Linked DNA regions of Coturnix japonica. The protein of the gene in region 3 interacts with the protein of the main gene of each other region in a biochemical or structural test. Links are inferred from orthologs where the notes say so. Each region holds a gene or a part of one and is shown on either strand. Other genes may lie near its edges. The genes, in order: DLG1, RALA and RALBP1.

Region 1 (4,047 bases), on a different chromosome or scaffold from region 3:
ATTCATAGGGTATTTTCTATACGTGCTGGAATTTCCAAACCATATTCTAAAGTTTCATACCATGAGCTCTGGTTCAACCACTCGGAATCAACAAATATCCCCTGGAACTGAAATAGCAGCACTAGGACCAGCCCCAATTGGAAGTGCATTAGGGCCCACCTAATTGCTTCCTGACTCACTGATCCTTCATCCTGACCCTTCTTTGATCTTTATTTTTTCCTTTTTCTGGTGCATGAGTGACAAGTGAGAAACGCCATCTGAGGGTGTTAGATGGGATTATTCCTCTATCCCCACAATGACCTTGCGTTATGGGATTCCATCTTAACACTGAAAAAGCATTCAAGTCCTGATTAAGAAGAACTTATTCAGTTCATTTAATTGCAAGTGTTTATTCATTTTTCGCTCTGTAATAAATGTTTTTGTCAGACAACAAACCAACCTCACTGCGTGGATATCTCCTTTCTGCTGGCTCAATCTGGGCTGCTCTTCTCCTCATGTACATGTACAACTCTGACACCACGGGGAATATGGACACTTTTAAAGTACGTTCAGTGTTGTTGTAAACACATGAAGCCAATGTCCATCCTCACTTAATATGGTCTCATTATAAGATATGTGGACTTGTACCAGAGAGTGCCAGATCCCTGATGCTACGGGAATTGGTAAAGTTCCCATAAATTGGTAAAACACACTGAATGCACGTTGTTTTCTTCACAGATCTACACGGGCTCTTCCATGGCAGAAAGCTGAGGGATGAACGGGGCTGGATCAGAGCAGAGCTCTGTGCTGGGTCCGTTTCCTTTAGGCGTGTTCCACAGCCGAACTCAGCGCTGGTTTTTGACTATCAAACCCACGTCCATTCCCAGGAGGTTCTTCCCTTCCACGGGGATGTTCCCAAGCCGAGTCTGTATCCGAAAAACCAACAGGAGATGCAGCCTGGGATGGGGAACGGCAGCAGCGGGATGGGCTCTGACTCCCAGCTCTGCCTGCGGGACACGCGATGTGCACGTGGGCTTTGAAGTGCTTTAGACATAGAAATAAGTGCATAGACATAGTGAGCAATAAGTTCATAGACATAGTGAGCAATAGGTGCTATGGACACAGTGAGCACTAAGCGCTATGGACACACTGAACCTCTCACCTTGCCTCCTCCCCCCGCCCCTCCGTTAGGTACCGGCCCCGGGCCGCTCCGTGCGCTGATTGGGCGGCAGCCGGGCCCGGTCACGTGGGAGAGGGGGGGTGCTCTCCCCCCAGCCTCCAGGCCGCCATTTTGGCTGGAAAGTTTGGAATTCCCGAGCGCTGAGCCGGGCGGTGGTTGTGCTGCTGCTGCTGGTTGTGGTGGCGGCTCGCCCTGCCCTGCCCGGCTACTATCAGCCGCCCCACCGCTGGTCCCGACCCGTCCCTCTCCTCGCTGAGCCGCCCCGGAGGGTCGCTGTGCGGGGCGGTCCCCCCCGCTCCCGGCCGGCAGGGGGTGCGCGCCGCCGCCGCCCCGAGCCGGGTCGGGCTCCAAGTTGAGGCGGCGGAGCGGCCATGCCCGTCAGGAAACAAGGTGAGCGGGGTCCCGGACAAAGGAGCCGCGTGGGGCGGTCCCGGGGGGTGGTCGTGGGGCACCGTGTCCCACCTGTGTAGTGCTCACAGAGTCTCGTGTTCGGCCGTAGATACGCAGCGCGCCCTGCGCCTCCTGCAGGAGTATCGCTCCAAACTGAGCCAGGCGGAGGATCGGCAGCTGCGGAACTCCATCGAGAGGGTCATCGGCATCTTCCAGAGCAACCTCTTCCAGGCGCTGATCGGTGAGCGATGCCCCTCCTCTAGGGTCGGGCTCTTGTGTGTTGGTGGTGAGGGGAAGCGAGTTGTTGTGTTGTCGGAGCCCTCGTGTCCCTCAGTGCTGTGTGTGTATCACGCTGACACGTTGCTGTTGCAATGAGCTGTTTTCTGTCACTTACTTTGTATGAGTTTTCTGCCCTGGCGCTGCAACGTGTCTGTTGTGGGCTGTGCCGTGCAGTCGGGTTTTCCACGTCTGTTTCTGTGGGTTTAAACAATTTATTAGGAATATGTTTTAGTTGTGAGCCCACGTGTCCACAATGAGTGAGCTGAAGTGGTTTTACTCTTAGAACTCGGGCAAATCTCCCTGCTGAAGGATCCCTAAAAATGCTGCAAGTTGTGTATTTCAGGAGCAGAATTAAAGTGAATGGAAGGAAACTTCTCATGTTGCAGGTGGCTGTGCTGACTTTTTCCTCTTCGGTTGTGAAGTGCAGTGAGAACCTCACTCATTCCCAGCTTCAGAGCACTTCTGGTGCTTTTTCTCTTTAGCCATTAATGTAAATATTGCTGAAATCATTCCGTGAAGCCTTGAATTTCCTGCACATCTCTTAGAAAACAAACAGAGCAAAATAAACACGTGGGGTATGAGCACAACTTGCAGAATCCTGACCTGACTTTGCAGCTTCTCCAGGGAGGCAGGGAGCTGTGGTTTCTTCCTGATTGGTTGTCACTGCGTATGTAACAGCTTGGAGTTTCATGCCCTTCCCTTTTAACAAAGTAACTTGCACATAAACTTTGTTTTAACATTGTAGACAGTCTGGGTTTCAGCTGTTACTTCGCAGTTACATGGTTTGAAGCCTATCTCACAAGTTTACATCTTCATAGTGCTGTGTCTTTGTGTTGTGGTGGAAACATGAGGAGGGTTGAAACATCGCTGCACATGAACTGCTTTCTCTTGGAGCATTTGTATCATCTGCAGGTGGGTTTTCAGAAGTTGGGCATCTTATGGAACATCTCCTGTATTATGTTCCTGATAGATGGTTGTTCAAATGGGTCTGTTCTCATAGGACACCTCTAGAAAGGGTTCACTTGCAGGAGCTCAGTTGATGCTCAGCAGCTCCGTGATGAGGATCTGCGCGCCTCTGTGTGATGTGTGTGAACAGACTTTGTTCTTTGCTGAATGAAATCATTGAAGTTGTGTATCGGAAGCTTAATACTGTGGTTATGCTTCTTATTTTCACCTGGGAAATCTCGCTCTTAGTTATTAATTGAATGAGATACAAGTCAGTAGTACGGAAATGGCCTTTGGTATTGTAACCTGTAAGACACACTTTATTCTAAAATCTGTAACAAGAGCCAGGTTGTCTGTGTAACTTAGCTCTTGGCAGTAGCACTCTTCAATTGGGGTTGCCACGTGCCTGCTGGAGGGCTTCATGCCTTGTTTTCTGATCTGTCAGAAGTTCTGTTGTAGCCGTGGGGTCTTTGATTCTGTCCGGTTCAGTTGATCTCAGCGTGCACAAATAGGTGTTGTGCTATTTGAGAGCATTTCACATTCATTTTGCATTTAGTGGTTAACTGTGTGATTGTATGTTAAGGAGCGTGCTTTAGTGCTCCAAGCTGTTCCTCTGAAATGTGATAGCAGAGAGTCACTTCCCAGCAATTGATGCTGTAACTTCAGTATTCTTCCTTTAACCTGCTCCATGGAAATGAGTTGGAGAAGTACTTGCTCATGGCAGGCTGCTCCTGGCAACATCTTTATACACTGGGACTACTGCTTGGTGCCCCCTGGGAGGGGGTCAGCTCCCTGCAGGGAGTAGGGGGCTGCCAGGAAAAGGTGCTGTGAGAGATGGCTGTGTTGGCTGAGAAGCCCTTGAGCACTAACTGCCCTCCTCCTACCTGTCCTCTTGCAGTGGAGGCTTGTGAACAGGCTGGACAAAGCTGTGCTGCTGGTTGGGCTTCCCTTGAATATTGCACTTGTAATTATCTTGTAGCTGATTTTTCAGGTGTGACTTTTATAGGAATTGTGCTGTGTCTCCAACTTAAACATCCACAGCTGCACTGACAGAAGCTTCCGTCCAAGCTCACATACTTTCCTTTAATTCCTTCAACAGATTTTAGTTCAGAAATCTTGCAAAATTGACCTGTTTCTTACATACAACAGTCTGCTTTAAAATGACTTGAATTAGGGCAGTGGCGACTCGGTGTGAGCAGTGTTACAAAATTGACGTTATCACATCAGTGTTATTTCTGTAAGTGAAATAACTGCAGTAATTTTAAGTCAGTAAC
Region 2 (2,670 bases), about 12 Mb from region 3:
GGGCTCGGCCTTGAAAATAAGTGGGAAATTTGCTGGATTAGTGTTTGTTTGCTCAAACTGATTATGTATTGCTGATTTTGTTCTAACCACCAGAAGTAGATGTCATCAGTGATAACCTGAACTAACTCTGACAGTGTTTTGGCATTTATATTCTTCCATCTTTTCCAGGTGTTTTTTGATTTGATGAGAGAAATTAGAGCCAGAAAAATGGAAGACAGCAAAGAGAAGAATGGGAAGAAGAAAAGGAAAAGCCTAGCTAAGAGGATCAGAGAAAGATGTTGCATTTTATAATCAAAACCCCAAATTCTTTTCCTACTTTGACCATACTAATAAAAAAACCATAATTTATAAGCATGCCATTGAAGGCTCAAGTGACTGAAATTACTCTAACGTGTTGGAAATTGTAATGTACCACTAAAAGCATGAATTGGAGCTGCACTGAAAGTCAGATTCACTGAAAAAGGTTGATGTGGCTTCAAGAGAAGCAAACCATTTCATAATCGCCTACCTTCTCACATTTCTTCTGAATGTAGTGTTTCATTGGAAGTCTTTTCTTTATTAGTAAACAGAGGGGGAAATATTACTTTCTGGTTTCTTGTAAAGCATACTTTTTTTTATCATTGATAATTGTCACTTTGTCTTGTCTTTCGTTGCCTTGAAAATTACAGTTGTGAACGTGATACCTAACAAAGCGGCATACACTTGTTTTGCCATGGAGTTATGCAGATTAGGAAAGAACAGTGTATATGCGAACAGTTATGCTGAGGAAAATTATATGTGGTTCCTCATTACCTGATTAACTTAGAAGAGTGATGTAATCTTTTACATTGAAACATTTGAATATGCCTTAATTTTAAAACCTAAACATAGCAGGTTGCTTAGTCAAGGGTGTATTTTCAGCTTGTTGCATGGAGACTCTTCCTGTGCATCAGTGTGAGCCTGCCCTCTCTGTAGAGTGGAGTTACATGAATGATCTTGCTAACTACCTGTCTGCTAGCGGTGTCTGTTCTTTAAATGTGTGCCATACTATGGTTTTGTGAATAATACAGAGCATATTCAGTCATCTGTAGCTTGGTGAACTGATGGTATCTTATAGCTAAAAGGTCAGAATACGTTTAAGATGGAAGTCAAAAGCCTATGGCACATCCGAGCCTGGAGTGGTTGCTTAAAACTTAACGTACTGATACCTTGAAGCTTCCCTTTGTGAGTAGATGTTTGTCTAGATGTTCCTTGGGTTTTAACTCCCTGGAGTAGCGTGGAGTGCAGCTGATTCAGTAGCGCTACTGTATTTTGAGTTAAGATGTTGTCTGGGTAATTCCAGTGTCATTGGTTAATTTCTTTTGTGTTCCTGATACTCAGCTGCAGGAACGCAGTGTGTTCTGCTGAAGCTCCCTGCAGGTTTTGTACTGTTTAGTCTATTTTATGTTGATTTTCAAATGGGGAACATTGTAGCTACTTTTTGTAGTTAATGTTGATATTAAACAATCAAAGATGCTTTTGCAATATAAAAACACTTACTGTGGACATCCAAAATCCCCAAATAAAATGTACTGCCTCAGTTGCTTTAGAACAGCAAGGATACTTGCACATGGTGAGTGTGCTGCATCTTAACTAAAAATATACCGGAACGTTTGAGGGTTTTGGACTCCTCTGGGATAAGATGGGCTAGATCAGTTCCACAAACTGTTACACTTTTTATACGTATGTAAACCTGTAACTGACAATTTAAAATGTACTCAAGCAAACTAGGTAACAAATATTTAACTTTCATGCTAACAGACATTTTAGGGACTCAAGTCTTAGAAGTTATATTTGTCACGTTAAATATTTATCAGTAGGAATTTTGTATGTGCGTTAGTAGACTGCCAAGTGCAGAACTGAAGTTACTCATGTAACTATGGCAAATGAGCCAGACATCATCTTCCTGTGTACTCATTTTGGTCTGTCTAGCCAGGGAGCCTAACCACTAACATTGTGACTTTGCTTTGGAATCTGTTTGCTGGGAGCTGAGGTGTTATGAAGCCACCAGACATATGAAACTTTGTCTTGGCTGATGCCTTACCCTGTTCTTTTGTTTGCTATTTGAGCCATTGAAAGATGAATAAACTTCCACTTTTTTAAATACTCGTGCAGTGTTAATTGATGACTATAGTATGTGTTGTGTTACTTTGTTAGAGTTGAGACTAGTTGTCAAGTTAAACTGAAATATTCCAGAGGTCTTTTTAGTGTTTGTGAACAAAAGAGAATTGTAGATTAAATTTAACCAGTCTGATTAAAAAATCCATTTTGTGAAAGCTGAGACTATGCATGTGCTACCTTTTATCCAATGTTAATTGATCCCTACTTGCTATGCCAGGGTATATCAGAAAGCAGACAGACAAAATCAAGGTAAGTGTGTTCCAGATGTACTTTTCCATAAGGATGGCAAGTGAGTTTTGTTTGCTTTGTTCTTTAAAGGAAATCCTTTAGAAGTCTAAGAAAAAAAAAGAAGTGCTTCTGAAGCTGTGTCTTCTAGCATTTTCTGGGATAATGTAAATTTGCTTCTCCAGCTTGCAGGGAAAGTAAGTTGAACTGTGTATAATAGGATTTTGATACATCCTGAGAGAGTCATCCAATGTGTGATCCATTTGGATTATAAATTCATGCTTTAGCCTACTTCTGTGCCTTAAA
Region 3 (4,174 bases):
AGCTATAGGGAACTATAACTATAGGGAAGGCAGGCTGGATGTAAACATCCATACAGCTGCACCAGCTGTTGTATTCATATGCCGTGTTCCTCGCTGGTTGTGTCACACATTCTAAGGCCTGTAGCTCACCGAGCCTTCAGTCAGACACCGCTAATACTTACGTTTCCATGTCAACCTGCTCAATTGGGGTTGCGGCCCTCGCCTGCCCCGGGGGGTTTCAGTGAACATGACCCAACTTTATGAGTTTACCCCAGCCGAGAAGCCGCTGGAACACCATGGGTACACTACCTCACACAGCACCAGCCGCCGCCCCCAGCACAGCCGTTAGGGGCGTTACAAACCAGACGAGGCACAGAATAACACAGAATCACAGAATGACCCGGGTTGGAAGGGACCTCAGGGATCATGTAGTTCCAACCCCCTGCCTGGCAGGGCCACCAAACATACACATTTACTAGATCAGGTTGCCCAGGGCCCCGTCCAACTTGGTCTTGAACACCTCCAAGGACGGGGCATCCACAACCTCCCTGGGCAGCCTGTTCCAGGGCCTAACCACTCTCCTAGTGAAGAACTTCCCCCTAACATCCAACCTAAATCTTCTCTGTTTTAACTTAAAACCATTTCCCCGTGTCCTGCTATTGTCAGCCCTTTTGAAGAGTTTACTCCCCTCCTGGGAATAAGTTCCCTTCAGGTATTGAAAGGCTGCAATGAGGTCACCCCGCAGCCTTCTCTAGGCTGAACAAGCCCAACTCCCTCAGCCTGTCCTCATAGGGGAGGTGCTCCAGCCCCCTGATCATCTTCGTGGCCCTCCTCTGGACCCTTTCCAAAATCTCCATGTCTTTCTTGTACTGAGGGCTCCACACCTGGACACAGTACTCCAGATGGGGCCTCACAAAAGCAGAGTAGAGAGGGACAATCACCTCCCTATCCCTGCTGACCACCCCTCTCCTGATGGAGCCCAGGATCCTATTTGCTTTCCGGAGCCAACAACTACCGCACCAGCCACCTCCCCCTGAGGTACTGCCGCTCCCCTTTCCCCGCCGCTGGGAGTTGTAGTCCGTCGGCAGGAAGCCGGCCCATCCCACTTCCGGTAGGAGTCCCCTAGAAAACTACACTACCCATCGTGCTTTGCGCGCGGGAGGCTTCTTCCCCTTCCCGCCTCTCTCTCGCGTCACCGCGCATGCGCAGAGTGCCTCCCTCCCTCACCCCGAGCGGAGGTGCGAGCGAGGGCGGCAGCGCGTGCGCGGTGCGTAGTGCGCGGCTGTTCCTCAGCCGTCCTTGCGGGCCGGGCGGCGGAGGCGGCGGGATGGGGAGCGAGGCGGAGCCGCGTGTGTGAGCCCGAGGCGGAGCCGCTGCGCCGGCGAGCGGGACCACGACGGTTAGTGCGAGCGGCTCCGCTCACCATCCCTTCATCGCCTGTGTGTGTGAAGGGCGAGGGAGCCGCTTCCGGGGCTGGCACGGGGGAGGGGGGAGGGATGAGGGATGAGGGGCGGGGGAGGGGCTGACCCGGGGCCTAACCCCTCGCTTAGCCCGGCGGCCGGCTGCTTGTTTCAGGGCCCTCCCGCTCACCTTGCCCGGCCCGTTGGCTGAGGGCACAGTGTGGGGTGGCCGGCCGTCTGCCTGCCTTCACCTGGAGGTACCGTCTGAGCAGCCCTTACCGCTGTCGGTGTTTGTCCGTGTGTTTGGCGAGTTGTCTGCCTGCAGTTTATGAGGACAGGCTGAGGGAGTTGGGTTTGTTCAGCCTGGAGAAGAGAAGGCTGCGGAGTGACCTCATTGCAGCCTTTCAATACCTGAAGGGAACTTACTCCCAGGAGGGGAGTAAACTCTTCAAAAGGGCTGACAGTAGCAGGACAAGGGGAAATGGATTTAAGTTGAAAGAGGGAAGATTTAGGTTGGATGTTAGGGGGAAGTTCTTCACTAGGAGAGTGGTTAGGCCCTGGAACAGGCTGCCCAAGGGGAGGTTGTGGATGCCCCGTCCTTTGGAGGTGTTCAAAGACCAGGTTGGAGGGGCCCTGGCACCTGATCTTAGTAAATGTGTATGTTTGGTGGCCCTGCCAGGCAGGGGGGTTTGGAACTACATGATCCTTGAGGTCCCTTCCAACCCGGGTCATTCTGTGATTCTGTGATTCAGTTTGTTGTGTGTTAGCTGCTCAGCATGTTGTGGGCTGCTTCGGGGTGTGTGTTGAAAACGTGTCTCTGCAGGCAGAGAGTATCAGCGTGAGGTGCGGGAGGAATAGAGCTGAGCTGACTGAAGGTGCTTGTGTTTGTTAGAGTACGAGCACAGCTATCTAATGAAAGCATCCCTTCGGGACAGTACCGTGCTCATCCCCCATCCTCAATTCACGGAATATCGTGGCCATCCTTAATGAAAAATAATAAAAAATAATAAGGTAGGGCCATTTTCTTGGTTGCGTAAAGCGAGTTTGTGTAAATGTCCTGCTTCCATTGCAGCAAGGTAGCAGCAATTGTGTTCTTATACCCACTAATCGTCTGGAAAGCCAGGTTGGAACTGGATGAGCATTAAGGTCCCTTCCAACCCAAACTGCTCTGCGGTGATCTGAACTGCAAACTTAAGCTATAATACAACCCTTTGGGCATAATAGCATTGAGGTTCTGTTGGATATGACCCAGGATTGTAATGGATGTGACTTCATTAGCAAGCTTAAACAACAGAAATAGAAAGATGTCCCTTTTAGTTTGTTTTTTATGTCATTTGAAATGTCATTGACAGGGTGTGCTGTTTGTTCGGTTCATATCAGTCCTGTACAGTCAGTGTGACATGTACTCTATAGGGGCTTTTCTCTACTGAGAAGAAAAAGAGAAGAATAGGCTGCTTATAAGGGATAAGCAGGGAACTTTGGGTTATCTGTTCCAGGGCTCTTATTTCTAACTGAGAAAATCAAGTTGATTTTTCAGTCTTCCCATGCATGCAATAGAAATAGCTGCCTCGAAGTTGGAATACAGTGCAATTCTGGCATTGTTCTGTCTTAGTGAAGGTCTGCTGGGGGAGTGGAGGTGTTATCTTCCTTAGAAAGTAACTTTTAGGCCCTTCCCTGATATGTTCTGGCCATGTTTTCTACCTGCAAGACTTTGAATGCTTTTGGACAGTCAGAGTTAGATGAAGAAATGCTGTTGGTTAGTAATAAATACCTGCAAATGCAGATGTTGTTTCCTTCTGCAAAGCTTGGTGTCAGGTAGCTGGCCTCAAAATGTCAAAATAAAGTATAGTATGACACTTATCTTCATTAATTGTATGCCTGGAGTAACGTACTAAGCCTTAATCTGAACTAACATGTCTGATTATTTTGAATCAGTGAGTGACTCACCACCCTTAAAAATAGGCACAGTTTGCCATATCACAGAATCACAGAATGAACCCGAGTTGGAAGGGACCTCAAGATCATGTAGTTCCAAACCCCCTGCCTGGCAGAGGCCACCAACATAACAATTTACTAGATCAGGTTGCCCAGGGCCCCATCCAACCTGGTCTTGAACACCTCCAGGACGGGGATCCACAACCTCCCTGGGCAGCCTGTTCCAGGGCCTACCACTCTCCGGATTTAAGAACTTCCCCTAACATCCAACCTAAATCTTCCCTCTTTCAACTTGGATCCATTTCCATATGCCAGCCTTATATTTTCACCTAAGAATCTATCAGCTTGCTCTTCTGTTCACCAGGGCCTTGTGGACGCACCTCAACAAAGAGACAACAAAGTGAGGAGGCAGGTCGATCTGTAGCAAAGGGAAGGCTGTTTGCCCATCCCAACCTATCACGGAATCATTAAGATGGAAAAGACCTCTGAGATCATCTAGTCAACCAACCGACCCATCCCTCCGTGCCACCAAACCAACGTCCTCAGTTGCCACTTCCACACAGTTCTTGAGAATCTTGGGGGATGTGATTTCCACCCAGCTCCCTGGGCAGCCTGTGCCACTGCCCAAAGAACTTAAAGGGCTTGAAATCCTGCCAAGCCCGCAAACTGCTCACAGTTTAGAGCCATAGACGGTGGTTCTATCTCACCTTTATGTACTTAGAATGACGCAATATACAAAGTTGGGTGAAGCTGTGAGGTGCTTCTGCAGAAAAAGAAATCACAGAATCACAGAATTGTAGGGGTTGGAGGGACCTCTTAGAGATCATCGCGTCCAACCCCCTGCCAAACAGCTCCCTACA

The links.
Region 1: the proteins of RALBP1 (region 3) and DLG1 interact in a test that uses a peptide from one of them, tested with the Homo sapiens proteins (2 studies listed by IntAct, with this or other methods). The link is inferred for Coturnix japonica from reciprocal best matches to the Homo sapiens genes RALBP1 and DLG1.
Region 2: the proteins of RALBP1 (region 3) and RALA form a complex in vitro, tested with the Homo sapiens proteins (3 studies listed by BioGRID). The link is inferred for Coturnix japonica from reciprocal best matches to the Homo sapiens genes RALBP1 and RALA.

What each region holds. Positions count from the first base shown.
Region 1 is NC_029524.1:10,829,498-10,833,544, reverse strand, and holds the start of DLG1 (disks large homolog 1), read left to right. Parts: upstream 1-1,247; 5' UTR 1,248-1,530; coding exon 1,531-1,549; intron 1,550-1,621; exon of another isoform or gene 1,622-1,658; coding exon 1,659-1,790; intron 1,791-4,047. UniProt on the Homo sapiens protein: Essential multidomain scaffolding protein required for normal development. Recruits channels, receptors and signaling molecules to discrete plasma membrane domains in polarized cells.
Region 2 is NC_029517.1:76,743,252-76,745,921, reverse strand, and holds the end of RALA (ras-related protein Ral-A), read left to right. Parts: intron 1-168; coding exon 169-291; 3' UTR 292-2,124; downstream 2,125-2,670. UniProt on the Homo sapiens protein: Multifunctional GTPase involved in a variety of cellular processes including gene expression, cell migration, cell proliferation, oncogenic transformation and membrane trafficking.
Region 3 is NC_029517.1:88,814,222-88,818,395, reverse strand, and holds the start of RALBP1 (ralA-binding protein 1), read left to right. Parts: upstream 1-1,186; 5' UTR 1,187-1,378; intron 1,379-4,174. UniProt on the Homo sapiens protein: Multifunctional protein that functions as a downstream effector of RALA and RALB. As a GTPase-activating protein/GAP can inactivate CDC42 and RAC1 by stimulating their GTPase activity.